Drosophila melanogaster: one gene and its partner. The gene in region 1 interacts genetically with each later gene. Each region holds a gene or a part of one and is shown on either strand. Other genes may lie near its edges. The genes, in order: Or67d and ATP8B.

Region 1 (3,826 bases):
TATCAAGAGATTACTTGTGGGTAAACTATACTACTCAGTTTATACAAAATTAACTAATAAACGTTATTTTTTAATAGGGAATTCAATTTTTTTTAAATTTATTTACTAGCAATTATACATGCGCAATATCAAACAAAGAGATCACCAATCTTTCATTGCATCTACTAAAAATTGCAGTGTATACAGTGGCGCCCACTGGCGGGCGGTGGCCTCGGAATGCCACGCACTTTCCACTGGAAGAAGTTTTTTGTTCGGCTGGAAATAAGCGAGCGTGAGACAGCCCACCTTTTATTTTTTTTTCCATTGAGGGTTGATAGAGTGAGGAACAGGGACAGAGTGAGAAAGAGAGAGATAGAGATTGATTATAGAGGAGGGGAGTACGAATACCTGGTATTTCCTAACTAACGAGCAAGTAATTTTGTGGGCCAACTGAGATGCCTGGCAGGGTCTTTAATGTTTCCTTGGCTACTTAAAGCCCCTGTTGTCTTGGCCTTTTGCCCATATTAAGTATACGCCACGATGGCGAGGTAGTAAGTGGGGGTGGCGCTTTCGATTATTTTTCCAGGGGGTAGGCCTGTGAGGGTCGTTTCTTTTTTTTTTGGCCACACCTTCCATTCTCGCAGGGGTGACTAAGCAGGGAATATGTATATTTTTTTTTCTGCGTGCGCCGAGCGTTCGCTTTTACTTTTGTTTGCTCGGATTTTCGATCGAAAAAAAAATATATAGAATAAACGAAAAAATAAAATGAAATAAAAGCGAAATGAGGAAGAACGAAATTTGTTTCGCTGCCGCTTTATGAAATGTCAAAACTTCAAAGCGAACCCAACTTAAATGCAAGAAAATGAGAAAATATTCACTTGAGTGCGTATGCGCTGTCGACACTGGCATTCTCATCCTGTTTTCCTGATTTCGTGCCCATTGTCCTGTCGTCCTTGTTGCTGTTGCTCTGCCTGTTGTTGTTTGCGATGCTGGTGCTGTTTGAACTGTTGTTGATAGCCTTTATTAGTTGTTGGCCGAAAGCTTAGGCGCTTACGCATTTCCCCCCACATTCTGCTTCCTGTCCCGAAATTTTCACGTCAAGACTTGTGCGCTCCGCAAATAGATATAATTTTAAGCTCCCCTAACAGCTCACGTTTCCCTTCTTTTTTTTTCACTCGTAGTCCACTTTTTTCCCGGGCAGCAAATTTTATTAAAAAATTTTATATTAAATCAATTGCGTGGAGATTTTCTCCTTATATTGTGTTTTCTGGTCGGGGTGGCAGATGTGCTCATGCAAAAAGTTGTTTGGCTGGGAGGCAATTTACGATGGGGAAAAACAAAATGCGATTCATTTCTTATTAAATCAATGAAGAACATAAAGTTCCTAGACTTATATCTTTTATTTTCATAAAAGAAATATACCATTGAGAACACTAATGGAAAATATATTTAATGCTGAGTGTAATTGCACTTTATTCAGATATCGACCGCCCTTGAATATTAATTATTTACAATAGATTCTTTAGCTAAATGCCGCAATTATAACGTCAATATTATGACATTAATTGCCAGCTTGGAAGCTCTATAAAAGCAGGATTATTTTGACAATTAAAAAACAGTTCTCCTTTAAGTTGCATAGCTAACAAACAATGTTGAAAATGGCAAAAGTTGAGCCTGTAGAGCGCTATTGTAAAGTCATTCGAATGATTCGCTTTTGCGTGGGATTTTGCGGAAACGATGTGGCAGATCCCAATTTTCGGATGTGGTGGCTCACCTACGCTGTGATGGCAGCCATTGCCTTCTTCTTCGCCTGTACAGGATATACAATTTATGTGGGAGTGGTCATCAATGGAGACCTCACCATAATCCTACAGGCATTGGCCATGGTCGGCTCCGCCGTTCAGGGACTTACTAAACTTTTGGTAACCGCCAATAATGCTTCTCACATGCGAGAAGTTCAGAATACCTACGAGGATATCTATAGGTCAGAGTTTGGTTTTAACAAAAGCAACAACTTGTTCAATTCCAATATATAAATTAATTTTCTATTGACATATTCAACAATATAATTATTTATTTTACAACATTTTCATATTTTTCCGCAGAGAATACGGATCTAAGGGAGATGAATATGCTAAATGCTTGGAGAAGCGAATCCGCATTACATGGACTCTTTTAATCGGCTTCATGCTCGTCTACATTATTCTTTTGGGCCTTGTAATCACCTTTCCCATATTCTACTTGCTGATTCTGCACCAAAAGGTATTGGTCATGCAATTTCTAATACCATTCCTCGATCACACAACAGATGGTGGTCACCTAATACTCACGGCTGCTCATGTGATTTTAATTACATTCGGTGGATTTGGTAACTACGGAGGGGATATGTACCTATTTCTTTTCGTTACCCATGTGCCGTTAATCAAGGACATATTCTGTGTGAAGCTTACGGAATTTAACGAGTTGGTTATGAAAAGGAATGATTTTCCAAAAGTGAGAGCCATGCTTTGCGACCTGTTGGTCTGGCATCAGCTGTATACTAGGTAATTAGCTAAACGAAATAATTAATACTTATATTTATAGTATTTTGTACATATATATTTGCGTTTATGCAGAATGCTTCAAACCACCAAGAAGATCTATTCCATAGTCTTGTTCGTTCAACTTTCCACAACTTGCGTAGGTCTTCTCTGTACCATATCTTGCATCTTTATGAAAGCCTGGCCCGCAGCTCCTCTTTACCTTTTATATGCCGCCATAACTCTCTACACCTTTTGCGGCTTGGGTACTTTAGTAGAAAATTCAGTAAGTAATTTAGTTGTTATTTAAGAAACTGTAATCATTTTATGCCTTTCAGAATGAGGATTTCCTAAGTGTGATCTACACGAATTGTTTGTGGTATGAGCTACCCGTTAAGGAGGAGAAACTTATTATCATGATGCTGGCCAAGGCTCAAAATGAAGTTGTACTCACTGCAGCCGACATGGCGCCTTTGTCGATGAACACAGCTTTGCAATTGACGAAAGGCATATATAGTTTCAGCATGATGTTGATGAACTATTTGGGATAAGAAAACAAAATATTTAATTAAAAGTCGCTCTTATTTTTAAACCATATTAATACAATACACACTTAATGAGCCAACTGAAAAAATGTGTAGATTAAAATATATTCATACATGCTTTGTAAAACTAACATTTATGGATACCATCAAATAGTTCTTTAATGGGTTTTGCATTTATCAGAACTATTACCTATTTTGACTAATTTAGAATTTCCGAGAATAGTCACAAAGTGGCTAAGCAATATTTAAGCCCTTTAACAAATGAGATTTCTTTGATCAAATCTCGTAAATCGCTAGGCAATTTGGCTCCCATTTTTAGCCATAGAAATATATACTATAAAAGTAATCCGCTGAAACTGCTGCTGAGCAAATGAGAGGAGTGAATTTGGATGGGGAGAGCGCTGATTAATTTTTGCTCTTTGTCTAATGAACTTGCCGCAACGGAATTTAATAAACAGACCCGCACTTTATGGGCCCACAAAAAATGATGTCTGCCAGGCCACAGACCATGAAAAATAGTAAAAACAGCAAAAAAAAAAGAGCAAGCATCGAAAGGAAAGGAAAAAACCCAGGCGATCCAAATGAGGGAAAAGTATGAAAAAGCATCGCTGGTAAGTTGTAAAAATTGTCTTTTAATGCCGTGCAAATCCAGCAGATTGCCACGTAGTGCTAATAAAATAAAGTTATGTCCGGGCATAAAGAACAAAAAGTCCGCGCACCGCTAAAACGCAACCGAAATAGTGTGCCATCGTGAAATAAACAAAAAAAAAAAATAAAAACCCA
Region 2 (5,289 bases), on another chromosome or scaffold:
GGTAGATTTACCTTTGATACTAACAATTAAAACAAAATTAATGCGTTCAGCGATAGAACAAAACTCGACTTACGAATCAATAACCAGTATAAGCACGATGTCCGCTACAAATTGATTTTGCTCAAAGCCTTTGGCATTTCAGATTGGGAAATCTCGCTGCCTCGGGCAGCCAAAAAGTTGAACAGTTGTTACTGATTTCGGCCAGATAGTGACCCAGTTCTTTGGCGTTACTAAACCAATTGCAGGGAGAGACGACGCGGAACTCTGACAAAAAGCAGCCCGTTGCTCGATTTTGGCCCTGACACTATTCCGCAAAGGTACCGTTAGCCAATGGCCCAAACATGTGCATGTGTATGTGTGTTTGTATATGCGGGGGAGTCGAAGTGTGTATGTGTAAGTGCGTGAGTGCCTTGAGCTTGGTCAAAACGGCACTTCGATTTATTAGGCGCCTTGTTTCGGCCGCTCAATGAATGAAGTGAATGAATGCGAATTATTCCGATTCATGAGTAGGGGTGGGTACTTGTTGACTTGTAAGTGTGTGCACATAACTTTGTGTAATACACTAGTCAGCAAAATGTAGAATATGTCGTCATTTAAACACTTCATTCAGATAATTACAAAAAATATAATTTAAATTGCGGTGTATATGTGCGGTCGAATTAGTTTTTATACAAAATGATCAAAGATACAAACTAACCTTTTGATGTGAAACTAATCCAAGAGTGTCGAATCAGGAAAATTTGTAAAAATTTTTTATTGACTTGAGACAAGTGTCTTGACGACCCACCCAGCTTTAAAGTTGCCAAGTGAAGTTTGTGACCCTTAAACTCAATTTTGTTAAAGTTGTTTTACAAATAAAACAAATTGAGAAACTGCAAGGCGCCACAACTTATTTCTAACGAAAACGAAAGTAGGGAATGTTCAAGTAATATTGAACTATTTATAACTATAATGTTTGCAATTGCTTTTGATAATAATAAGACTATGTACTTATGTTCATATGTATGTTGTACATGAGCGACACGTAAAGTCTTCAAAGAATTCTGGGAATGCGAATCTGTGCCCACAATAACCGCAAAATAAACTTACACAATCCATCCTTTCGAAATTCATTATTTAATAGGAACTTGAATAATATGTACATTCAGCGTTTGGCGCTTCGCTGATTAAGTTTGCCTTGTTCCGAAAAAAAAAACGTAATGCAATGTGTACGGGGTGTGATTACCATTTCCCGCCCCCGGCAATCATTCATTAACCCATATGCGCCACTTCTTCAAGCGCCAATAATGTGCTTTTTTTGTTTTGACATTGACATTGCTGCTTTTTTGAATGAAAAGAGAGTAAGAGAGAGCACGCTTTCTCTTGCTTGTTCAATTCACGTGACAGAGCGAGGAAGAGCACCTCCAATTTGTTTGTCGACTCACTCGTTCTCTTTCAATTTGTTCCCTTGTTTTTTTTTCTTAGGGTGACTTACGAAATTTGCTCATTTTTATGCTTGACAAACTTGGGAAATTGTTGACAGATTTTTTGCCGCAACGAACGCGGTAATACTCTTTCGATTATCAATAATAAGTGATTAATTTGTAATATATATTTTGTTAAATTATTCTTTATTAGTATTAATATAAAAAAAATTAAAAAATCGTAGGATTAAATAAAATTATTAATACAGAATATAAACATTTTTAAATATATACGGCTCTATTTCCAACACCGCAAAACCATTAGGGTGGACCCTGATAGCATAATCGTTTATGTGAATATTACTCATACGACCCATAAGCCCATCAAAATACTTCAGCGATTGCACTGCGACCCTAAGGCAATCGATCAAGTCAGCTCGGGTCCCATTACTAGAGCTTTTTAAAAGATTTCTACGTTTCACGTTAATCCTCTTTTCAAAAAGCCAATTCTGAGAGTGGAAATTATCACCTATTGTGCTTTGAACCTTTGAACCACAGATCACTTGAGTTGGAATGATAAACTTTGGATATCGAAGCTTTTCCATAGCTCTCTTTTAAGACAAGCTGGTTTTAACCGTTTGCGCTTGAAGGTGTGCGTGAATCGGTTGCCAAGTCCGGTTGCCTTGGCAGCGCAGTCGGCAATTTGTTGTCATCGTTTTACTCGCATTTCGCTCAGCTGACGGCGTCGCAGTCGCCGTCGCTGTCGCCGTCTCGGTCGCCGTCGCCCATTTTGGCCGCAGTTTGCGCGCGGCAGTTGGCCATTTGGCTTTGGCGTTAGCCGTTTTTGTTTATCGCACTGCGGACCGCGTAGCACTTCGCGTTGCCTTGGGCCAATTAAGTGGAATATAACTCCCTGCTTTGCGAAAAACTCAAGTTGCAGTTTTAAAATAAGGTGTTTCCGCGTTTTCACAAAAAAATACGAGGAAAACTAATAAAAGGCAAAAAAAAATAAGCAACAAATGGAAAAATCAAACGCAAGCGGTGCAAAATAAGTGCAAGAAATGTGCTAAAAATGTACGAAGCTGGGTGGTTGGAGGAGAAGGAGGAGGAGGAGGAGCGATATAGGGGTAGAAGGGGAAGGGCCGAAGAGAGATCATGATGATGCATTTGGCACCTGGCACCGAAAACATGTTCCTCATTTGCCTCTGTTTTGTTGTGCTTTCTTTGCTCCCAGCATAATTATTGAGCATTCATCGATTCTTTTGGCCTTTTCTTGTAGTTAATTTGTTTTCACCCCTGCCCCTTGCAAACCCATCAAAGGTGACGCATGCGAGCGAAGGAAAAGCGAACAGCAAAAACAACTCAAGAAGGCGAAACAAATTGAGAGCAAGGAGCAAATTTACATTCACATGCATGACTCATGTTCGCAGCAGGATATCGTCGTTAAGGAGAGCGGAAGAGTGCATGGGAAAAGAGGGGGAGAGAGAGCGCGACAGAGCTTACCCGGCATTGTTGTTGCTACACAGGGAAAAAAGATAATATTAATATTAATATTATTTTAAAGGTTAAATGGAGATACATAAGTACTTAGATAAATATATGTTAAATTAATAAAAATGGGCTTCAAATAAAACCAGCCCAGAATACCTTATTCATACCACTCCAATTTCCTTAGTGTAGTTGAGAGAGTCCGCTTGGGAGAGGCATACAAAATAATGTGAGAGCGCCAATCAGCTGTAATTCGAAAACGGGCGGAAGTGGGGCCAAATTTTTTGCCGATTGCCTTTATTATCCTTAGCAAAGAGACAAAAACTTTGGACAGAACTTTTCGTCTCAGATTCAATTTCCGTTCTCCCTTACCGTTATGCCTTTCATATCCACCTTTTGCATGCATTCGCCGTGGCCTTGACAACAGTTTTGACATTGACACCCGCCTGCTTTCCACAATTATGAAAGGCAAGAGAGAGTAAAAAGAGCGAACTTTAGTTTGCTGCAGCTTCCTTTTCTTTGTTGCCCAAATAAAGGCCACTTGTTGAATGTGTAAAATGCTTACACACACGCACACACACTCACCCAGTAGAAGCTTTGTGACGCCAGAGCGACTTGCTTACTGCAGATTTGCTCAATCGAGCATAAGGCTGTAAAGTAAACATAAAGTAGTACACATGTCTGCGTATATTTGTAGTCGACTGCTCAACCATAATGCACCCAGATGTACTCACATGAAAATTCCGAGAAAATTCCAAGAAAGCAAGGTGAAAATGTTTGGCATGGATACTGGCAGTAAATACAGTGCGTGCTTTATAAAATGAACCATTAAAAGCAACGGCAAGGGAACCAGAAAGGCGATTCTTGAAAAGTTTTTTCTTGCAACTTAATATTGCCCCAATGATGATATCAAGCTTATGCTTATTATCAAGAACATTCAGATACTTTTCAAAGTTTTTTTAAATTGAAATCTTTCATACACCAGACCGTACAGCAACCAGTATAATTAAAAACCACTGAAAAGCAATTCCAAATTAATTACCAGTTTTTGTTACAATCGGTTTGTTTGAGTTTCAAATTAAAATCTCACACAATAAATAATTATTGTAAGAACTTTTAATTGAACTGCACCACAGCTATTGAACTATATTTGCCTTGTGGAGAACAAAAAAGGAATGACGGGGCATCAGCCAGTTTAGGACAACCTACAATGCTTTTTGGAAGCCAATCAAAAATTTTATTGATATAAATTGTGGGCTTAAAGGGTAAACTGTGTTTATGTTTAAGAAAAATCGATAGAACTATGAGAGCCTATTTATTTGGAATATTGTAACGCGAGTAAATTTTCCTTAATTGCTTTAAAATGTGGGTGTACATATATTTCGTGACGCATTCAGTCCCAAACTCAGTCCTAGTTAAAAATCTCAACAAGTATTTGATATACCCTTTGAAGACGATTCCCCCTGGGTATCCGAGAATCACAGAAGAAATTTGTTTATTTATTTATTGCCCAGACATATGCGTGCAAACACTCAATGTGTGAGGAGAATCGTTTCCAGCTGTCTGGGGCTCTTTGTCAATGGGAGGGGTAGCAGTCTATCAAAATGATGGATGGAACAGTCTTATTGAGCCAGCCCTCCAGGGAAGTTTGTTCGGTGCCGATGGGTTTTCAATTGCATTTTAATCTTTCGGGAGTTAGCAACACGTTAAACTTTCGATTTTCCTCGTAGAATGAAGAGTAATGCGGACGCCCCATATCGTTATTGTTCCACCTATAGCCTAAGCTGGTCATGATCGGGGGCAGGAGATGCAGCGAGGCCGCCCGGCGGCTAAGGAGGCGTCCTGACACTCTGGAACTTTCAGTTCTGGGGGGCCAACCTATCGAAACTGAACTCCAGGAGGACAATGAGCGGACCCCAACAAAGGGAGCCGGAAATGTGGATGAGCCCGGAATAGAAGCTCCTGAAGCTTCGTGCTCTGCGCCCAGCAAAAGAACCCGATGGTTTCAGTTCGCCAGGAGCTCCAAAAATCGAAGGAAACGATTGCACTGTAATGAAGATGAGGATGTTAAGCAGCCGGAAAGAAGGAATTCCGATTTGGAGGGCAGTCCGAGGGCTTGCCTCGCTCAACCGGAGGGCATGAATATAGGCAGCTCTACGCAAACCATTGCCACACCCCTAATGATAGGAGATAGCTTCTACAGCTTGGCGCCGGGAGGAGGCAATCCACCACCCAACAAATCCGATGACCAGGAACTGTATAAGCAGAGAGATCCTTCCGTGACCTCGGAGTCAAAGTCCGTGCCAAGTTTGAGACGTCTTTCCCAGATTAGAAGGCGTCGCAGCTCGTACTATTTTTCGGGTAAAAAGAGATTAAGAATGGAAAATAACTTTAAGGA

What was found.
Region 2: of Or67d (region 1) and ATP8B, changing one suppresses a phenotype caused by changing the other (phenotypic suppression), as found in Drosophila melanogaster (one study listed by BioGRID).

What each region holds. Positions count from the first base shown.
Region 1 is NT_037436.4:10,271,576-10,275,401, forward strand, and holds Or67d (odorant receptor 67d), read left to right. Parts: upstream 1-1,628; coding exon 1,629-1,963; intron 1,964-2,084; coding exon 2,085-2,522; intron 2,523-2,594; coding exon 2,595-2,784; intron 2,785-2,836; coding exon 2,837-3,049; downstream 3,050-3,826. UniProt on the Drosophila melanogaster protein: Plays a role in detection and sensitivity to pheromones and signal transduction of the fatty-acid-derived male pheromone 11-cis vaccenyl acetate (cVA).
Region 2 is NT_033777.3:12,076,869-12,082,157, reverse strand, and holds the start of ATP8B (ATPase 8B), read left to right. Parts: upstream 1-2,229; 5' UTR 2,230-2,477; intron 2,478-4,621; 5' UTR 4,622-4,681; coding exon 4,682-5,252; intron 5,253-5,289.